2 linked regions of the Pelodiscus sinensis genome follow. The protein of the gene in region 1 interacts with the protein of each later gene in a biochemical or structural test. Links are inferred from orthologs where the notes say so. Each region holds a gene or a part of one and is shown in the gene's direction. Other genes may lie near its edges.

Region 1 (10,116 bases):
CACTGACTCTGCTTCAGGAGTCAGAAAGGCTTCCAGGGGATGCAGGCTTCATCCCCAGTGGCCATGGCCCATTGGGGGCCCTGGGCAAATGGGCACCACTGCACCCCCACCCACTCCACCTGCCTGGCGCTCCTGCCAGTGAGCAGGGCAGGGGCCAGGGGGCTTCCCTGGCCCACCCAGTGCTCCTGCTGTGGTCTGGGGGAAGCCCCCTTGCCCCACCCCTCTTTATAGCAGGAGAACAGAATGTGGGGGGGAGGACTGCAGGGGCCCCCACATGCTTTGGCCCAGGGCCCCATAAAGCTGTAAACTGCCTCTGTCCATCCCCTGTCCAGATTATGTGGTTGCTTATTCCCTCCTGGCCAGCAGGGCCCAGATTAAAACTGGCCCCCTGTAGATAGCAGAAACCCACCCAGCAGGCCTCGCTCTCTCAGGTGCCATCTTTTCTCTGTCTCTCTCTGGAACCTCTCTAAGGCTGGGCAGTAGTCGTGGCTCTTCCACGCTTAATGTTTCAGCTGCCAGCAGGTCCTGAAGTAATTCTGGAGGCCTGTAAAACATCATGTCTCCAGTCAAGCAAAGTCTCTGACATCCCTCTGAGCAGCTTCCTTCTACTCCTTTTCTTCCTCTCTGTTCTCTGTGATTACTGGCTAATTAGGAGAGCATGACAAGATTTTAGGTTGATTGGCTGATATCTGCCCCATGTCTCAAAGGTTCTAACTTCTGGACCAAGGTTGCTTGTTAAAAGAAATAAGACTCCATATCCCTTTATAATGTTATTAGAACACTTAAGCAAAGATAAGAGCAGGGAAACTTTATCACCAAAGCTAAGCTGCTATGCACTAAACTAAGTATAAAGCACAACAACTATTCAGTGCTGGTGAAATCAAACCAACCAATTTACTCAACAGTAATCAGTCCTTCTATAGATTCTAAAAAGGTGGCTGTCTGCTTATAAATACAACTAACGAATGTGATCAGAATCTCAAATCTATCATTTGAATGATTAAGTAACTTGCTATAAAAGCAAATTATTAGCTGATATCTGGACTGCTGCCTTTGAGTCACTCTTCCATCTTCTAAATGAATTGCTCTAACCCCTTCCTCCCACCACAAGAGATGGATTATCACACAGACTTGAATGGAATACTCTTGATAACCCTTGTGCCAGTCAGTGTTGGCAGCAGCAAGGGACGGTTCAGTATCTAGGGGTTCCTTTCCAACAGTGCAACACAAAACCGGCCCAAGCCCTCACGCAGCAGCATGGGACTATTACACACCACCGCCTGGGTGCCTCTAAGAAGCAGCGCTTCCCCTCTCGCAAGCACAGAGTCTGAGTGTAGCAAAAAACTTGTAATAAAAGGAGGGAAGTAATTCAGCATTAATTTGGGAAACCAGTGCAAACAGGGTTCATAAATATTAACCATGAGCAAAAGACCCACCAAACATCTTATCTTCTGGAATCATCATCTTGACAGAGGAAATTTACTTTAAAGTCCATGAATGAAACCCACTCAGCACACTCATTGCATTTTAAGTTTTAGCCAGGGTCTGGCTTCCAGTATACGCTGTTCCTCTTGAGTGCCAAATGGTCGAGTGGTATCACTGAACTCGTGGGTTCAACTTTTGCTTACTGAACACAATTCCACTAGGGGCTCGCACTCAGTCCACGGCCAGGCCTCATGTAGAGGTCGTGCTTGCATTGCTACCTGGGACTGCGCTGAGGTGGCCATGCATGTAGATTGTGCTGGGGCAAAGCTGCCCCATTGTGTGTAGCTCTGAGGGACCAGACTTTTTCTGATTTGGTCTCTTTCCTCCCATCTATTTATCTTCCATGTTTTTTTCTTTCTCCATCTCTCTTTGCTCCCCCATTGTCTGTTTGCCCTTACCTGGAGGGACCTCAGAGACTGTCCCCAAGAAAAGAGATTCCCAAGGTCATCTCTACACTGAAACAGGCTTTTATTCTGTTCCCTGGCTTTCCAGCAACCCTTCCTCCCAACCTGTCCTCCTAGTGGTGGTGCCGGACAGGTTTCATAGTCCCTTGACTGGGGGAGGAGGCAGGGGCCAGGCCCAGGCAGAGTTAAGACTTGACCCCTTTTTAATGCCTCCGCTCTGTACTGCTGTGCTCCTTTTAATGCCTCCGCTCTGTACTGCTGTGCTCCTTTTAATGCCTCCGCTCTGTACTGCTGTGCTCCTTTTAATGCCTCCGCTCTGTACTGCTGTGCTCCTTTTAATGCCTCAGTTCTGCTCTGGGATGACTTCTCTGTCCTTTGGTAAGTGCAATGGACACCGGGGCAGTGGCAGTAATAGTAACACACTTCCCTCCCGCTCTCTCTCTTGCAGGTGTGTGTTACTGTGAAATAATTACATGTGAAAAGAAAGCAGAGTCGCAGGTGGAGAACCGTGACCCTTTCCACTGGGCCTGAATAGTTCAACCAGCTGATTTCAGTGAGTACAGGGGAATGAATGGGAGATAGGGCTGCCATCCAAGGCACAAAAAACTGGGACATTGGAACCCTTTCATCTGGGACAGCTCCTTCTAAAAAGGGAGCTGGGGTAGGAAAATGTTGACAGGTAGCACCAGGCTCAAACCCTGACTTTCAGCACCACAATCACAAACTTCTGTCCTTTCAGCTAATTCCTCTGCAGGTGGCGAGCTGTCCTGTGGGGCCTGGACACAGAGCGGGACAAGGTCTCTCTCTCTCTCTCGCTCCCTGGTTTAGGTAGCCCTTGCGCTCAGTGAGCTAGTCACAGATGGAGGCTTGGGGAAGGTGGATATTCCATCTTGTGAAGCATTTTGAAAGTTGGCTTCATTCTGCACTGAACAAAAGATGAAAATTTTGAAAATTTCCACAAAGAAAAAAATCTGGAAAATACTGGTTCAGGCATTGGACAGAAGAGTTGCCAGCCAGAGTCGTCGTCAGCCTCCGGAGCCTGTTGAGAGCAATCCGGGAGACGTGAATTGGGTATTTTAAGAAAATGACAATACGTCATGTGTAAAATAAGACCTGGACTAGCTTTGGTCAGAGCTGGCAGCCCTTTTGGAAAAGTTGCTTCCCCATGTTTTACAGATGGGGAGGTGAGGCCCTGAAAGACGGAGGGTGGGTCTGCTTAGCAACCCTCTGGCAGTGAGTGTCAGAACCTGGGTCAGCTGACAGGCTCGCAGGGCTGAGAAAGCTGTGCAGGCACTAGGGCGTGGACCTGAGCTCTGAGAGACTCTCATCTCGTACTCTCAAATGGCTGCCCTGCTACCTCCAGCCCCTCATCCGTTGATCTGGCCCCGGGGACTTGCTGCCACTGTCCCTTCTTGCTGTTAGACGCACCCCCAGCCTGTGTGGGCCTGAACTCCCCTCTGGCCAAGGAGGGGAACGGCAGTGCCTCGCCTTGCAGGGCTTCGTCAGGGTAAGTGCCATTGTGACTGCAGCGTGCTGAGGTGCTGTTGGGATGGAGCTGTCGACATGCTGTAGACAGAACAAGTTTTGCATCGACTGCCTGGACAGCTAAGCAAATGCTGCTCTTAGGGAGTTGATTATTGCAGCTTGGCTGAAAAATGCCAGCCAGAGTTGTTGCTCATTCCCAGTCCACTGTGGTGACTCATCTCCCAGCAAGGCTATCGCTGTACTTGGCCAGGGGTGTGAATAGGCTACCCCAAGTGTGTACAGCGCTAGCTCCGCAGGGCAGCTCCTCCCCTGCCTGTTGGGAGGGGGCATTAGGTCGATGGGAGAGCTCTCTGCCGAGGGTCCAGTGGTGCTGCTGTAAGCTCTCAGAGGTGTCCACAGCCGGAGTGTTGGCTTTTAAGATCAGCAGGACGTCAGGCTGTTTGGAGCAGTGGAGCCCCTCAGCAGCTACCCGCCTGATTTCGCTTTAGTCTGTCAGGCGCCCAAAGCCTGACTTTTGTCCGGCCTGCTGTAGAATCTCTGTGTTGTAAGCTCTGTGGTTGGGACGTGCAGATCCCACAAATCCCAGCCCTTGATCAGAACTCCCCTAAACTTTGGATGAAGACCAAACTGCTCCCCGCCCCCAGCCCCACTTTGAAGTAGGAATAAGACCCTCCGGAAAAGGGCGCTTTTTCCGGAGGATCGGGGCCAGTGTAGATGCTCTTTTCCGGCTTTTCTAAAAGCCAGAAAAAAGCGGCGGACATTTTTATTTAAATGCCGCGGGGGATATTTAAATCCCCCGCGGATTTCCCTATTACGATCTCTGAAATTACCATGCCCCTTTCGGAAAAGGGGCCAGTGTAGACGTAGCCATTGTGTTTGCAAGCTACACCTAGAGCCTGATCCAAATTTTGCAAATGGCCTCATCTCCATAATGGGCCAAACATAACCCCTCCAAGTATTAGGCCCTTGGAAATCCAGGTGTGAATTCTGCATACTGGGCTCCTCTCCAGCACCGGTAATGCTGATCAGCCATTGCACGTGTCTCTTGGACTGTGAGGTATATGTGATCAATACTAAACTCAGAAGTCAACTAGATCAGTGCTTACCAGCCTCGTCCTGCACTGGTGCCAGCTTCCCAGGCCAGGATGTCAGCTGCTCCCACTCGGCTAAGGGAGGGATGCTCACCAACCAGCTCAGCTGGAAAATAGAGAAGAGTTTGAGCTGACAAATCTGAAGCTGGGTCTAGATTTCAAATAGCCCTAAAGTGGATGTTAGTCTTCTCCTGTAGGGCTTTTGTTCAGAGCCCTCACTAACGCTGTGTGTGTAAGAAGGATCTGAATTGAGATTAAGCACTCACCTGGCTGGCCAACCAGAGACATGCTTGGCCTGTGTTCATAGAATCAGAGCATAGAACCAGAGAGCTGGAAGAGACCTCAGAAGGCCATCAAGTCCAGCCCCCTGCTCTAGGCAGGACCAATCCCAATTAAAGGAGCAACGCTTTCTCCATCAGTCATGTTTTCTTAGCCTCCTCTCTATTCCGGTTCCTGGGGAGACGGTGGCCTTCCAGACAGTTAATCTCGGTCTGCAGCATGGTCAGCAGCTCTTCAGACTGAAGAGTCCCTGAGAGGGGTTTGGAGCAGCCCAAGGGTGGCTGCAGATGAAAGAGAAGGGAATGGGAAAGAGGCCAGGGAGTACAATGAAGCCCAGAGGCATAAGGGAGAGATGGAGGCTGGAATCCCAGTCATGTAGACCGGAAGTACCAGCCTGCACCACTTCTAATGTGCTGGTCTGGAAGAGATGGCCTGCTGGTAAAGGTGCAGGACGCAGAGCCAAGAACCCCGGGCTGGACTCGCCACTGAGTTTCCAGGACAAGTCACTTGACCCACACCCTGGACGCAGAATGCTACAGTCCCAGACTTTTTGTCTCCTGTGTGCATGCCCGGAAAGAGGGGGAGGCCTTGGTCCCACCCTCCTTCCTTCCCAGATGCCCAGGAGAGCACACGCTATCCTCTGTCCATTTGGCACCACTGCCACTCCAGCATGTGTTCCTCTCTGGGCTTCCCAGGGGAGTCCTGGCCCCGCCAACCTGCCTTCCTTTGGGGCCTCTGCCCCAGCAGGGCTGTGTTTCCCAAGCTTCTGGGCTGCATAATAAATCTCAATCTCTCAGGATGAGAGTTTCTCTCTGTATCATGCCAGGTATTTCCACTCCAGACCTAACTCTGCTGGCAGCGACACATTTGCCAGCCCGTGCTCAAGGGTCTCCAGGGCCTGTAGCTAGATGCTAATCAAACCGTTCCCTGGTAGACACACACACGGCTTGGGTACGGGTGTTTTACGCAGCACTTTCCATGTGCTTAGCCATCACTTCCCTCCTCCCCAATGCATCCATCTCCCGCTCCCCCGCCCCCACCCCGTCTGCTGCCACTGCGTGTCTGCATGATGTCAAGGGCAAAGGAATGCCAGGCAGGCGGGAGGGGGCTGTTGACGGTGAGCAAGCCAAGTGACAGGCTGACATGATTAAGAGCCTGCTGGCTAATTAAAGCACAGAGGTGGGAGGAGCAAAGTATTTAAGGGTGCCCAGGCCTCCCCAAACTCGGGTTATGCTTCAGGGAGCCGAACAGCCCGGAGCAAACCCTGATTGACTCTTTCACACCTTGTCTCTGGAGTCCAAGTGGGGGGCGGGAAGAGCCCAGCAAATGGCACCTTTGACTGAGAAGCCTGGTCCAAGGTAAGGACGCGGCTAGCTGAGTAGTAATTGGCGGGTGCTCAGCGCTCTCAGGAGGATACTGCTGTTGGCTAGGGTGAGCCACTTACCTCCCGGTTCCCTTGCTGTGTCATAAGCCACTGGTTAAGGGAAGGAGCTGTCAGATGGTTTTGCAATGGATCTCTGTTGCTCTGGTTCCTGGAGATGTGTGAATCCTGGCCTATCTGCAGCCCCTGGGGGGACTGGAGGCAATACCTCAGTTTCCCAGCTTGGGCCTGCCTGTCTCTGAACTCAAAGCAGTGGGCACGAGTCGGCGCTTTGGCGCAGGCCCATGTGGATTGGACTCAGATGGCAAATTAGTTTGTTTTTATCCTTCACTTACTAACTTTTCTGGGCCAGGTGTTTCTCTGGTTGTGGAGCTGGACAAAGGAGAACAATGTGACTTTAAAAGGCGGTTTGGTTTGATGTTCCGCTGTTCCTGCAGGGGGGTGAAATCTGAGATCAGACGTTAGCTGCAGCCTCCCCGCCTATGGCATTTTAGACCTGCCTTCAGCGGAGACCCTCTTACCCCGGTGCTGGAGATGCCCTAGGAAAGGTGGCTTCTGCCTCCGTGGTTCCCTCTGTCAGCTGCTGTCAGAGGCGGCATGGCCTGTTGGCCTGAGTGCAGGACAGGCAGCCAGCACACTTGGGCTGCTGCTTGCTCTGTCTCTGGCTGTCGCCAAGCCCCTGTGGCCATCAGTCTGGGGTTCTGCCGTGGCCCTTTTGTGCTGCCTGCACTGGACATGAAGCCAGAGGAGGAGCCCCTGGTCATTCCTGTGGCATAGGAGGGTCCTCTGGATGCCAATGGACCCACCTCCCCTTGCAGCGCCTGAGCAAGGAGCATGCCAGGGCTCTGCCTGGTGAAACATGCGGCACCCCAGGCTGGCCTTCGCTCTTGCAATGCTCCGTGGGATTGTTGCAGCCACCCTCAGGCTGCTGTAGGTGCTTGTGCTGGGGGCATCAGAGGGCTCCACCCAGAATCTGGTTCCCTCAATTCTGCCCCTCCTCCCCATCCTGCATGTGGAGCTCTACTACAGTTCAGAACTGGGTCTGTCTGTCCACTTCCCTGTCTTTGTGGGAGGGGGCAGGGGCGGCTGGCATCTAAAGAGGCGAGCTAGGCAGTCACCTAGGGCGCCAAGTTAAATGGGGCGCCAAATGGTGGCACAATATCATGGAGGGGTTTGGAGGTGGGGGCGCCAATTACATGGTTTGCCTAGGGCGCCAGTTGCTGCCAGCTAGTCTAAGGCCACCCCTGGGGGGGGTCTGTTAATTGCCTGCCTTCGGAAGGGGTGGAGTGCAGGGGTTTGTGCAGCACAGAGGGAAATGTACTGCTACATGTTGGCTGCTGTCAGAGAGCCAGGGTTTGCCAGCAGTTAGCACAGCAAGTGTGTTTCCCTGATCCTGAGACAGTAACCTTGCTATCAGATATTCTAGCCGTGGTGACGGCTAGTAAATGGTTGCTTTATTTGTGAACTTCTGACTAATCTTAAAATTAGAAGTGGGCCTGAAGCAGTACCTTTCCCCACCTCCACACATTTGTACAGCCCTGAAGATCTGCAGATACCCACTTCATGTCCACGGGTATCCACAGATCGTTTCTGCACATGTGGATGTGGCTATCACCAATTTGTATTTGCGTAGGGCTCCACACATCTGGGGAGAATTTGTGTCTGGATCTGAACTTTGTGGTTGGGGTTGATTTCTACTTAAAATGTACAATAATAATGTTGGGTCTCCTTCCTATTAGTGGTGGCTTATAACTTGAGAGTTTTCATCAATGTCAACTTGCAGTATCCAAGCCATTGTACATATAAGGTGCACTTCCAGGTGGGGAACATGCAGTTTGGTGTGACCGTGTCGCTGCATCTAAATCCCGTGGCCAGCACAATGAGGCGTGGCTTTAAGACTGAGAACTATTAGCATTTCTGGCATCTGCCACCATGGTTGGATCTGTTTGTTCAGAACCATTTTCCAAGGCAGCCACTGACTTTAGGCACCAGTAGCCCCATAGCTACCGAGTGACTCCAAGTAGCCTGTAAAGAGCTGGAGCCAAATGAATCCCATGTGTACAGTTCTAAAAGCGACCTCCTCCCAGCCAGCTTTATGTGCCTTTTATGGGTCTTAGGGCACTTTTTGCAAGAGCACAGGGTATAACCCAGTGTCGTTAACTTCACTTCTTCTCATTAACTCTGTCCAAACTGAATTCCTGCTAATTACATTCTCCTTTAACCAGCATTGTCCCTCTCAAGTGAGACTTGCCAAAAAATTGTCTAGTGGATTTATATGCCTGTGGAGTGGGTGTTTGAATCCTCCATGCAGCCATACAAACCTCAACCCAGTATAGTCTAAGCCAGTATAGCCAAGGAAACAACCCCTCTGACGTACCCAGATCATTAAAGATTTGAGATTCCTACCACGGGGTCATATTCTATAGCCCTCCCAGTGACTCAAAAGCATGTGTCCTTACACTGAACTATTAATGAGTTGTTTGTTATCTCTTGCTATTGTAGGGAGACCCTGGAATGCTTGAAACATGTGAGATAATCCACAGACATGCTGTACAGAAGTAGTCACTGCGTATCTGCATTCCTTCCAACTAGGATTCCATCACTCTCTTTTCCACACCAAGTAGGGAAAGAGCTGTGGTCTCAGAAGAAATGCGCTGAGACTAAAAGGGATGACGAAGTCATTAAAAGTCTGCCTAGAGGTGTAGGGATGCTGTAACATAGATGGAGGCACATTCAAGATCAGAAACTTCTGGCCTACGCCCAGGGGCAACCCGTCCATATAGGCGAACTAGGCGGTTGCCTAGGGCGCCAAGTTAAATGGGTTGCCAAATGGTGGCCTAATATCATGGAGGGGTTTGGAGGTGGGGGTGCCGATTGCATGGTTCGCCTAGGGCGCCAGTGGCTGGCAGCTAGTCTAGGGCCACCCCTGCCTACGCCCTTGGGAATTCCTTACCTGCCATCATGTCTTACATTTGTTTAGCTCAGAGGTTTCTGCTGATGTTAGTGTCACATTTCAGCAAAGGCATTCTTTAGGGTTTGCTGGAGAGCAGCATTGTCCACTGGCTAGAGCAGGGTGCTAGAAGGAAGGGAACTTGGGCTCTATTTCTGGTTTTGCTGAACTGCTTCTTCCAGCTATAAAATGGACATGACGGATACCATCTGCCACTGATCTGAGATGCTCATGTATAGACTTGCACGGCAGTAGCAGTATTTAAAACTGTCTATCGACATAGGCTCCAATTTTGGAGAACAGTCTCTATTCATGAAAGCACTTAAGCACACCTTTAACTTTAAAGTCAGCGACACTGAAGTTAAGCACCTGGGAGCCTAGCAGCAGGAGTAACTGTGATCCTGATTTAGGAAAGCACACGCTAGCCTTGAAGCATAGCCTTGAGTGCTTTCCTCATTTGGGACCATAACCCCTGCTGCCTGCTCGTAACTAAACCTTGCCCTCAGATTCTTGCCTGGTGTAAACCAGCTTTGCACGCTGTAGTCTGGGGGACATGCTGGTTCCTGCCCGTCGTGCATCTCCCTCCCGCCACCTTTTTATGGGCTCTGGACTGTTTGTGGATTCAGTTGGGTGTTTCAGTGACATTGATCCACTTGACCGTTATCAGGCACAAGTGCAAACTGTATTAATTAAACTCAGTGAAAGCCATGGACATGAGCATATAGACTGTCAGGCTGTGTCTCTGCTGCTTCTGGGTAGCTGTTCGCTCTAGCAGCGGGAGACTGTCCCATCACCAAAGTCCAGCCACCTCCCTGAGAGGTGGTAGCACAGTCTACAGTGAGGGTTAGTCAACTTCCTACATTATTCAGGGTGTGGATTTTCGCACCTCTGAGCATTGTGGCTGGATTGACCTAGCTCTTTGATGTAGACCTGGTATCAGAAAGGCACTGCCACAGAAAATGAAAACTGCAATTTAGGTCAGTTGTATGGAGTCCTTGACTCCATTTTCCTGTGTTTCTCTCTTGATATATTTATTTTTAT
Region 2 (10,613 bases), on another chromosome or scaffold:
CCTATTCTTGGGGGGGTGAGTGGCTCTCTCCGAGGAAGGTCCACTCGAGTGGAGAAACCAGCAAACGAAGTCCCTGTTTTGCGGGGGGTGAGCTAATCGTCCATCTCCCACCCTGGGGCTTCTCCCTGCCAAGCTCCGCCCCTTTGCTACATCCCAAGTGTTCCATCATTAGGCTTGCCAGAGACTTTCAACAAAAAGGCCGAGTGTGGCAAGCTTGGTTGAGCCCCAAAAAAATGGGTGGGGGGGAGAAGAGACCAGAGTTGTTGAGCAAAAGGGAAGGGGGAGACCAAAGTTGAGCTCCTGCCAGATGCAGCAGCAGAAAACTGTCCCGGCCCGGTTTCCGTCCAAGGGAACCAGGAAATACCGGACGTTTCACGTGTCTGGTATTTTCTGGTTTTTTTAAAGCCAAATACCGAACAATGGGGGTGAAAACCGGACACCTGCCAACCTTATTCTCACTGGCCCTGGCTGATTGGGGACAGGCCTTGGGGTGCTTAAACTAGCCCATTTCTGAGGGTGCTGGGAGATGGGGACTCCTGGGTTCTGTTTCCCAGCTGCAGAGAGAGTGGGGTCTAGTGGTTAGTGCAGGAGCTGTCTGGGACTCAGGACACAGGCTCGAGTTCTCGTCTACCCCTGCAGGGTGGATTTCCGGAGTCCCATCCAAGTGGCTTGTTACTTTTAGCAGGGTCACAAGCCTTGTGGCTAAGGGGGAAGTGGCAGATGTGGTACACCTAGCCTTCAGCTGGGCCTCCTGTGATGGTCTCGTACACGAGGGAAATCCAACCTGCACGGGGTTTCTGTAAGGCGGGGTTGCAGCGGGCTGGGCTACTGTCCCCAGAGAGTAGATACCAAGGGGTTCCCAGTCATGCTCGGTGCTCAGCATCACCCCCAAAAAATGTTTGGAATCATTCAAAAAGGGCTAGAGAACAAGACAGAATATTTAGTGCCTCTGTAAACCCATGGTACGCCCACAGCTTGAATACTGCATACAGATGCGGTCAGCTCATCTAAAAAAAGATGCCTTGGAAAAAAGTTCAGAAAAAGGCACCAAAAATGATTCAGGGTTTGGAACGGGTCCCATCTGAAGAGAGATGAAAAAGGCTGGGAGGTTTCAGCTTAGAAAAGAGGAGACTGAGGAGGGATAGGATCGAGGTCTATAAAATCAGGACTGGTGTGGAGAAAGTGATTAAGGAAGAATTATGTACTTGTTCCCACAATATAAGGAGGAGGGATCACGCAATGAAATGAACAGGCAGCAGGTTTCAAACCAACACAAGGAAGTTTTTCTTCATGCAGCGCATCGCCAACCTGTGGAACTCCTCGCCAGAGGATGTGCTGAAGATCAGGACTTGAACAGGGTTCAAAAAAGAACTAGATAAATTCATGGCGGTTAGGTCCTTCAATGGCCGTTTGCCAGTGTCCCTAGTCTCTGTTTGTCCGAGTGACACGGGAGGGACACATGAGGATTACCTGTTGTGTTCCCTCCCTCTGGGGCACCTGGCGTTGGCCACTGTGGGCTGTATGGACCTTTGGTCTGATCCAGGCTGGCCATTCGTATGCTGCAAGGGTATAACAAGTAGGGTCCTACAGGGATGGGCTCTAGGACCGGCCCTGTTCAATATCTTCATCCGTGATTTCGATATTGGCATAGCGAGGATGCTTCTTAAGTTCGCAGCTAATCCCAAACTGGGAGGGGAGGCAAGTGATTTGGGGGACGGGGTCCGAATTCAAACTGAGCTGGGCGCACTGGAGACATGGTCGGAGGCAAACAGGATGAAGTTCAACAAGGACAAGTCCGAAGGGCTCCACTTGCGGAGAACCAAGCCGTGTGGCGCACGCAGAACAGGAAGCGGCCGTCTCAGAAGGAGGATTGCGGAGAGGGACTTAGGGGTCGGAGTGGGCTGTAAACTCAGCATGAGTCAGCAGTGTGACAGGGTTGCACAAGCACACCACAGACGTCATGGGGGAGGCATGAACCGGCGTGGTGTAAGCAGGAAATGTGGAGCAATCCTTCCGCTCTGCCCCACATTGATTCGCACCCCCCGCCAGCGGCTGCGCTGCGGCCACTTCTGGGTACCGCGTTTCGAGGAAGAGGTGCCCAAGTTGAAAAGGGCAGGGACCTTTCGGCAATCTGAGCTTCTCTGGGTGGTGCGCATCTGAACGGGCCTTGGTGCGCAGCACAACATTTATTCCACATGTGGATGGAAAAAATAGGAACCTTGCTGGCAGTAAGTATGTCACTGGGTGGTGCGCATCTGCACAGGCATTGGTGAGCAGCTCAAAATTTATTCCATACATGGATGGGGAAAAAATAGCATGGACCTTGCAGCAGTACGTGCTTCTCTGAGTGGTGTGCATCTGCACAGGCCTTGGTGTGCCATACAATATTTATTCCACACGTGGATGGAAAAAAATTAGCAGGGACCTTGCCGGCAGTCTGTGCTTCTCTGGGTGGTGCACATCCGCACTGGCCTTGGTGAGTAGTATAAAATTTATCCCACACATAGATGGAAAAAAAATTAGCAGGGACCTTGATGGAAGTTTGTGCTTCTCTGCATGGTGCACATCCAGACCGGCATGGGTGGGAAAAATTAGCAGGAACCTTGTGGGAGTAAGTGCTTCTCGGGGTAGTGCATGTCTGCTCAGGCCTTGGTGCGCCACACAAACTTTATTCCACACATGGATGGAAAAAATAGCAGGAACCTTGCTGGCAGTCTGTGCTTTTCTGTGTGGGTGCGCATCCACACCGGCCTTGGTGCATAGCACAACATTTATTCCACGCATGGATGGAAAACATTAGGAACCATGCCAGGAAGGACTCAGCCGCTGTCCTTCCGGCCTTATCTCCCTCCCAACCATGAGCTGGAACCAGCTAATCTCGCTGGTATCTGGCTGTCCAGCCACCCCCAGCCCTACCGACCCGCCCTCCCAGTCGACTCGCCCCTCCGGGATATTTTTAGCACTAAACTCCCAGGCAGCGAGGCCTGGGCGAGCCGCGCCCGGCGCCCTTGGCCCAAGGATAAGCCCGGCGGCAAGGCCTGATAAGGGGCTATTCACGGCTCTCGGCGGGGGCAGAGGGACGGCGGGTTCCCGGCGGCACCTGTTTGGGCCACGAGTGGAGGGTTAAATATAACCAGCGCCCACGGGCAGACAGCGCCTGCAGCCGCGGACACAACCCAGCGCGGCCTACGCAGGACTCCTGGGTTCTCGCCCCGACTCTGGGAGGGGAGCGGGGGCTAGTGGTTAGAGCAGGGGGAGGAGGGGAGCCAGGACTCCTGGGTCTCACCCCTGGCTCTCCAGGGTTCACTGTGTGTGTGTGTGTGTGTGTGTGTGTGTGTGTGTGTGTAGCAGGCCAGCCTGGGCGTGTGCACACACTCACATGCCTGGTCACACACCCCAGACCAGCTGAGGAAACAGGCTAGCAAGGGCTGACCCGGGGCCCAGGCGGAGGCTGGGAACTGCCCAAACTCCTAGTTTCCAGGCTGGGCCCGCCCGCTGCACTGCCCCACGGTGAGACCCACACGCCCGCCTCCCGCCCGCCCCACACAACGCCCCGCTGAGGGGCCAAGGAGTAGAAATACCAGCTCTGGCAGGCAGGGGGGCAGGGGTCTGGCCCCTCTGGGGGGCCCCGGTTCTGAGCACTCCAGTGAGCCCAGCTCTGTGGAACGAGTTTGCTGGGTCTCTGCCTGGGCACCCACCGACCCCTGGCCGGCCGACCCCCTCTGCCCCCCATGGGGCGTGGGGCAGGGACGTGGGCGGCTGGTTGGGGGGCGGGGGCTCCCTCTGGGGGCACCCAGAAGAGCCGGGGAGGGGTGTTACCGGCTGGGCACCTACCCCCCAACACACAGGGGAACTGGAACATTTCTCCCCCTCCAGTCAGCTGATCCCCCCCCACCCCGCGGGACTATGGGCCCCGTGCGCCACCTGCTGGCCCCCTGGGGTTTGGGACAAGAAGCCTCACACCCTGAGTCTGCCTGGAAAGGGGGGGGGCGCTCACTAAAACACCAGAGTTGACTCCCCCCCCATCCACAGCCCCAGCCCCCCCAGTACTCCCCACAACCACAGCCCCTGCCCCCCCAGTGCCCCTCCCAATCCACAGCCCCTACCCCCAGCCCTGCCAGTGCCCCCCATCCACAGCCCCCTGCCCCCCAGTGCCCCTCCCAACCCACAGCCCCTACCCCCCAGCCCTGCCAGTGCCCCCCATCCACAGCCCCTGCCCCCCCAGTGCCCCTCCCAATCCACAGCCCCTACCCCCCAGCCCTGCCAGTGCCCCCCATCCACAGCCCCTGCCCCCCCAGTGCCCCTCCCAATCCACAGCCCCTACCCCCCAGCCCTGCCAGTGCCCCCCATCCACAGCCCCTGCCCCCCCAGTGCCCCTCCCAATCCACAGCCCCTACCCCCCAGCCCTGCCAGTGCCCCCCCCATCCACAGCCCCTGCCCCCCCAGTGCCCCTCCCCATCCACAGCCCCTACCCCCCAGCCCTGCCAGTGCCCCCCATCCACAGCCCCTGCCCCCCCAGTGCCCCTCCCCATCCACAGCCCCTACCCCCCAGCCCTGCCAGTGCCCCCCATCCACAGCCCCTGCCCCCCCAGTGCCCCTCCCCATCCACAGCCCCTACCCCCCAGCCCTGCCAGTGCCCCCCATCCACAGCCCCTGCCCCCCCAGTGCCCCTCCCCATCCACAGCCCCTACCCCCCAGCCCTGCCAGTGCCCCCCATCCACAGCCCCTGCCCCCCCAGTGCCCCTCCCAATCCACAGCCCCTACCCCCCAGCCCTGCCAGTGCCCCCCATCCACAGCCCCTGCCCCCCCAGTGCCCCTCCCAATCCACAGCCCCTACCCCCAGCCCTGCCAGTGCCCCCCATCCACAGCCCCTGCCCCCCCAGTGCCCCTCCCCATCCACAGCCCCTGCCCCCAGCCCTGCCAGTGCCCCCCATCCACAGCCCCTGCCCCCAGCCCTGCCAGTGCCCCCCATCCACAGCCCCTGCCCCCCCAGTGCCCCTCCCAATCCACAGCCCCTGCCCCCCCAGCCCTGCCAGTGCCCCCCATCCACAGCCCCTGCCCCCCCAGTGCCCCTCCCAATCCACAGCCCCTGCCCCCCCAGCCCTGCCAGTGCCCCCCATCCACAGCCCCTGCCCCCCCAGTGCCCCTCCCAATCCACAGCCCCTACCCCCCAGCCCTGCCAGTGCCCCCCATCCACAGCCCCTGCCCCCCCAGTGCCCCTCCCAATCCACAGCCCCTACCCCCCAGCCCTGCCAGTGCCCCCCATCCACAGCCCCTGCCCCCCCAGTGCCCCTCCCAATCCACAGCCCCTACCCCCCAGCCCTGCCAGTGCCCCCCCCATCCACAGCCCCTGCCCCCCCAGTGCCCCTCCCCATCCACAGCCCCTACCCCCCAGCCCTGCCAGTGCCCCCCATCCACAGCCCCTGCCCCCCCAGTGCCCCTCCCCATCCACAGCCCCTACCCCCCAGCCCTGCCAGTGCCCCCCATCCACAGCCCCTGCCCCCCCAGTGCCCCTCCCAATCCACAGCCCCTACCCCCCAGCCCTGCCAGTGCCCCCCATCCACAGCCCCTGCCCCCCCAGTGCCCCTCCCAATCCACAGCCCCTACCCCCAGCCCTGCCAGTGCCCCCCATCCACAGCCCCTGCCCCCCCCAGTGCTCCTCCCAATCCACAGCCCCTACCCCCAGCCCTGCCAGTGCCCCCCATCCACAGCCCCTGCCCCCCCAGTGCCCCTCCCCATCCACAGCCCCTGCCCCCAGCCCTGCCAGTGCCCCCCATCCACAGCCCCTGCCCCCAGCCCTGCCAGTGCCCCCCATCCACAGCCCCTGCCCCCCCAGTGCCCCTCCCAATCCACAGCCCCTGCCCCCCCAGCCCTGCCAGTGCCCCCCATCCACAGCCCCTGCCCCCCCAGCCCTGCCAGTGCCCCCCATCCACAGCCCCTGCCCCCCCAGTGCCCCTCCCCATCCACAGCCCCTGCCCCCCCAGTGCCCCCCATCCACAGCCCCTGCCCCCCCAGGGTCCTCCACTCCCGGCCCACAGCCCCTGCCCGCCCGCGGGGGGGATCCCGGGGAATTTGCTCCCCCCCCACACACAGACTTTGCCGCTGCCACGTGGGGGGCCGGCAGGTGGCAGCAGTGGGGCAGCGCGCGGGGGCCGACGGGACACTGGGGGTGCGGGGCGGGGCGCCTGGTTGCGGCTGGACCCTCGCGCGGAGCCAGGAGCCGGAGACGCGGTGAGCGGGGGGGGTGCAAGGGCCGGGGGGACTCAGGGGGGTGCAGGGGCGGGGGGTGCCAGGGCCGGGGGGCTCAGGGGGGTGCAGGGGCGGGGGGGTGCAAGGGCCGGGGGGCTCAGGGGGGTGCAGGGGCGGGGGGGTGCAAGGGCCGGGGGGCTCAGGGGGGTGCAGGGGCGGGGGGGTGCAAGGGCCGGGGGGTTCAGGGGGGTGCAGGGGCGGGGGGGTGCAAGGGCCGGGGGGACTCAGGGGGGTGCAGGGGCGGGGGGTGCCAGGGCCGGGGGGCTCAGGGGGGTGCAGGGGCGGGGGGTGCAAGGGCCGGGGGGCTCAGGGGGGTGCAGGGGCGGGGGGGTGCAAGGGCCGGGGGGCTCAGGGGGGTACAGGGGCGGGGGGTGCAAGGGCCGGGGGGTTCAGGGGGGTGCAGGGGCGGGGGGGTGCAAGGCCCGGGGGACTCAGGGGGGTGCAGGGGCGGGGGGGTGCAAGGGCCGGGGGGACTCAGGGGGGTACAGGGGCGGGGGGGTGCAAGGGCCGGGGGACTCAGGGGGGTACAGGGGCGGGGGGGTGCAAGGGCCGGGGGACTCAGGGGGGTACAGGGGCGGGGGGGTGCAAGGGCCGGGGGACTCAGGGGGGTGCAGGGGCGGGGGGGTGCAAGGGCCGGGGGGCTCAGGGGGGTACAGGGGCGGGGGGTGCAAGGGCCGGGGGGTTCAGGGGGGTGCAGGGGCGGGGGGGTGCAAGGCCCGGGGGACTCAGGGGGGTGCAGGGGCGGGGGGGTGCAAGGGCCGGGGGGACTCAGGGGGGTACAGGGGCGGGGGGGTGCAAGGGCCGGGGGACTCAGGGGGGTACAGGGGCGGGGGGGTGCAAGGGCCGGGGGACTCAGGGGGGTACAGGGGCGGGGGGGTGCAAGGGCCGGGGGGCTCAGGGGGGTGCAGGGGCGGGGGCTGCAAGGGCCGGGGAACTCAGGGGGGTGCAGGGGCGGGGGGGTCCAAGGGCCGGGGGACTCAGGGGGGTGCAGGGGCGGGGGGTGCAAGGGCCGGGGGGCTCAGGGGGGTACAGGGGCGGGGGGGTGCAAGGGCCGGGGGGCTCAGGGGGGTGCAGGGCCGGGGGGGTGCAAGGGCCGGGGGGCTCAGGGGGGTGCAGGGGCGGGGGGGTGCAAGGGCCGGGGAGTTCAGGGGGGTGCAGGGGCGGGGGGGTGCAAGGGCCGGGGGGCTCAGGGGGGTGCAGGGGCGGGGGGGTGCAAGGGCCGGGGGACTCAGGGGGGTGCAGGGGCGGGGGGGTGCAAGGGCCGGGGGGTTCAGGGGGGTGCAGGGGCCAGGGGGGTGCAAGGGCCGGGGGGCTCAGGGGGGTGCAGGAGGATCAGGGGTTGGGGGTGCAGGGGCAGGGGGGACACAAAGAGATTGGAGGGCAGGAGCAGGGTAGGGTTGGGGGGTGCAGGAGGGGCAGGGGGATCAGGGGATGCAGGGGTGGGGGGTGCAGGGGGATCAGGGGGCGCAGGGGGATTGGGGGCCGCAGGGGCAGGGAGGGGGCAAGAGGCTAACACTGGGGGGCGCTGGAGCTGGGGGTGCAGGGGAGGGGGTTTCAGGGGCCGCAGGAGCAGTGAGGGGGCAGGTGGCTAATTCCGGGGGGGGGGCGCAGCTGGAGCCAGGGGTGCAGGGCAGTCAGTGCACAGGCTGCTGGGGGGGCGGTGACTTGGGGTGCACAGGTGCGGGGGGGGCGGCACGGACAGACCCAGCAGTGGCTCTGTGGGGCTGAGATGGGGGGTCCTGGGGGCCGCTGGGGTCTGATCCAGCTGGAGTCTGGCCAGGGAGAGGTCGGTAGTGATCACCCACCGCTGGGGGATTGCCAGGACTCCTGGGTTCTCCCCCCAGCTCTGGGAGGGGAGCGGGGGCTAGTGGTTAGAGCCGGGGGGGGGGGGGCCTGGGTTCCATGAGTCTCTCTTCTCTTTCAGGTTCCCTCAGCCCCGGGATGTTCTTCACCTGTGGCCCCAACGAGGCGATGGTGGTCTCCGGTGAGTGGCTCCCCCCCCCCCCCGCTCTCACATGGGAGAAGCCAGTCCCGGGGGTGGGGGGGGGGAGCCCGATGCCCCCCCCCAGTCCCTTCCTGTCTTGGGACCTCCCACACTCCCCGCCCCAGCCCTGACAGCCCGGCTGAGTCCCAGGCCCAAAGTCACAAGCTCCGTAACCCGGATCCCCAGGGGAAACCCAGACCAGGCCCCTGCCCCCCCTCCACCCTCACCAGCCAGGCCCTGCCCTGGGGCCTAGAGGGGCCAGGCCCCTGCCCCATTCCCTGCCCCTCTGGATACCCGGCAGCGAAGAGACGGGATTTGAGACAGGATGACGTCACCAGTTCCCAGGGGATGGGACCCTGGAGCTAATCCAACGGTAAACAATCAAATCCTCTTTTCTGGGCCAGGCTAGGCCACGGGGAGCAGGGCGGGGGCTCAGCAGGAGGCGCTGGGCTGTGGGGATTGGGGCGGGGCTTTCTGATTCCAGACAAGATTTAAAATCCGAGTTCACTTCCTGCCTCCTTAAGATTTCCCTGCTGGTTTCCAATTGCCCGTTCCCCAGCGGCGGCCGCGTCTCAGCCCCGTGCTGCGTCCCTGTTCTATGCGGCTGTTTCCCCAGCCGCCCCGCCCCAGAAGCAGCTGCATCTTAGTGCCCGACGGCAACTAACACTCTGCTCCCCTCCCCGCTAGGCTTCTGCCGCAGCCCCCCAGTGATGGTGGCCGGGGGCCGGGTCTTCGTCCTGCCCTGCATCCAACAGATCCAGAGGTAAGTCCCCACCGCAGAGATCTGAACATAGGAACGGCCATACCGGTTGAGACCAAAGGTCCGTCCAGCCCCGTGTCCTGTCGGCTCACAGTGGCCAGTGCCAGATGCCCCAGAGGGAGTGAACAGAACAGGGAATCATATAATGATCCCTCCCCTGTCGCTCATTCCCCAGCTTCTGACAAACAGAGGCCAGGGACCCCTCCCTGCCCATCCTGGCTAATAGCTATGATGGACCTACCCTCCATGAATCTACCTAGCTCTTTTTTAAACCCAGTTAAAGTCCTGGTCTTCACAATGTCCTCTGGCAAGGAGTTCCACAGGTTGACTGTGCACGACGTGAAGAAAAACTCTTCCTTTTGTTTGTTTTAAACCTGCCACCTATTAATTTCATTTGGCAACCCCTAGTTCTTATATTATGAGCAGGGCTTGACAATCTATTGAATCTACTCGCCCGTGGCGAGTAGATTTCAGCCTGGCGCCCCGTTTACCGGTGGCACGTGCATGTGCAATGCGGGGCTGGCGAGCGTCTTTCGCCGCGGTTCCTCAAGCCCTGATTATGAGAACAAGTAAATAACTTTTCCTTATTCACTTTCTCCACTCCACTCATGATTTTATAGACCTCTGTCCTATCCCCTCTGTCTCCTCTTTTCTAAGCTGAGAAGTCCCAGTCTTTTTCATCTCTTCACACGGGACCCGTTCTAAACCCCTCATCATTTTAGTTGTTCTTTTCTGAACCTTTTCCAATGCCAAGAGATCTTTTTTGAGACAAGGCGACCTCATCTGTACACAGTATTCAAGCTGTGGGCGTCCCATGGGTTTATATGGAGGCAATAAGATATTCTCTGTCTTATTTTCTACTAGCAGAAATACCCGGCGTCGCCCGGGGAAAATATAGTAAAAGGTGTGATGAATGAACTACATTGCGTATTTTATTGGAAATCCTTTTCTCTGATATTTTACTTTAAGAAATGAACCCAGCTGGTACTTTTCCTGTTATCGTAGGGAAACGATCTCGTAGTTGCAGTTCGTGTGACATGCTTCACAGAAGAGTCCAGCAAATGCCTATGATCAGGCGCTACTAAAAGCTAATGAGTGGCCCAATTCGGGCTCTGGGGGAACCGATTTCGAGATAAAACCAACCCAGTTATTTACGTTAGGAAGTCAGTGGGATCCGTGCCAAATTTGGCGTTTCTAGCTCTGACCGTTTCGGAGATCTTTCGGGACCAACAAACTAACTTTCGGAAATATTCGTAAGACCCCTTTTTCAATGATTCCCAACTTTCTGAGCCGCTGGGGCCCTCCCACCGCCCCACTGGGCTTGCCGGCACTGGGGAGGGATTCGAGACGGGTCAGAAGAGGGGCAGCGTGTGGGGGGTGGGGATGTGGGGTACATAGGTCTTTGGGTCATGACATGGGGGTGTCCCGTCCACAGGATCTCCCTGAACACCCTGACCCTGAACGTGAAGAGCGAGAAGGTTTATACCCGGCACGGGGTCCCCATCTCCGTCACCGGCATCGCCCAGGTAACCGCTTCCCCAGCTGCGAGGTCGCCATAGAAACCCTGGGGAGGCGGGAACACCTAGGAAACTAGCCAGGTACCCCCGTCCCCCGCAGTGG

What was found. The genes of interacting proteins can lie anywhere in the genome.
Region 2: the proteins of SORBS1 (region 1) and FLOT1 form a complex in vitro, tested with the Homo sapiens proteins (2 studies listed by BioGRID). The link is inferred for Pelodiscus sinensis from reciprocal best matches to the Homo sapiens genes SORBS1 and FLOT1.

Annotation. Positions count from the first base shown.
Region 1 is NC_134718.1:4,329,512-4,339,627, forward strand, and holds the start of SORBS1 (sorbin and SH3 domain-containing protein 1), read left to right. Parts: upstream 1-5,290; 5' UTR 5,291-6,070; coding exon 6,071-6,102; intron 6,103-10,116. UniProt on the Homo sapiens protein: Plays a role in tyrosine phosphorylation of CBL by linking CBL to the insulin receptor. Required for insulin-stimulated glucose transport. Involved in formation of actin stress fibers and focal adhesions.
Region 2 is NW_027466009.1:677,485-688,097, forward strand, and holds the start of FLOT1 (flotillin-1), read left to right. Parts: upstream 1-6,138; 5' UTR 6,139-6,231; intron 6,232-8,173; 5' UTR 8,174-8,190; coding exon 8,191-8,233; intron 8,234-8,920; coding exon 8,921-8,996; intron 8,997-10,428; coding exon 10,429-10,519; intron 10,520-10,613. UniProt on the Homo sapiens protein: May act as a scaffolding protein within caveolar membranes, functionally participating in formation of caveolae or caveolae-like vesicles.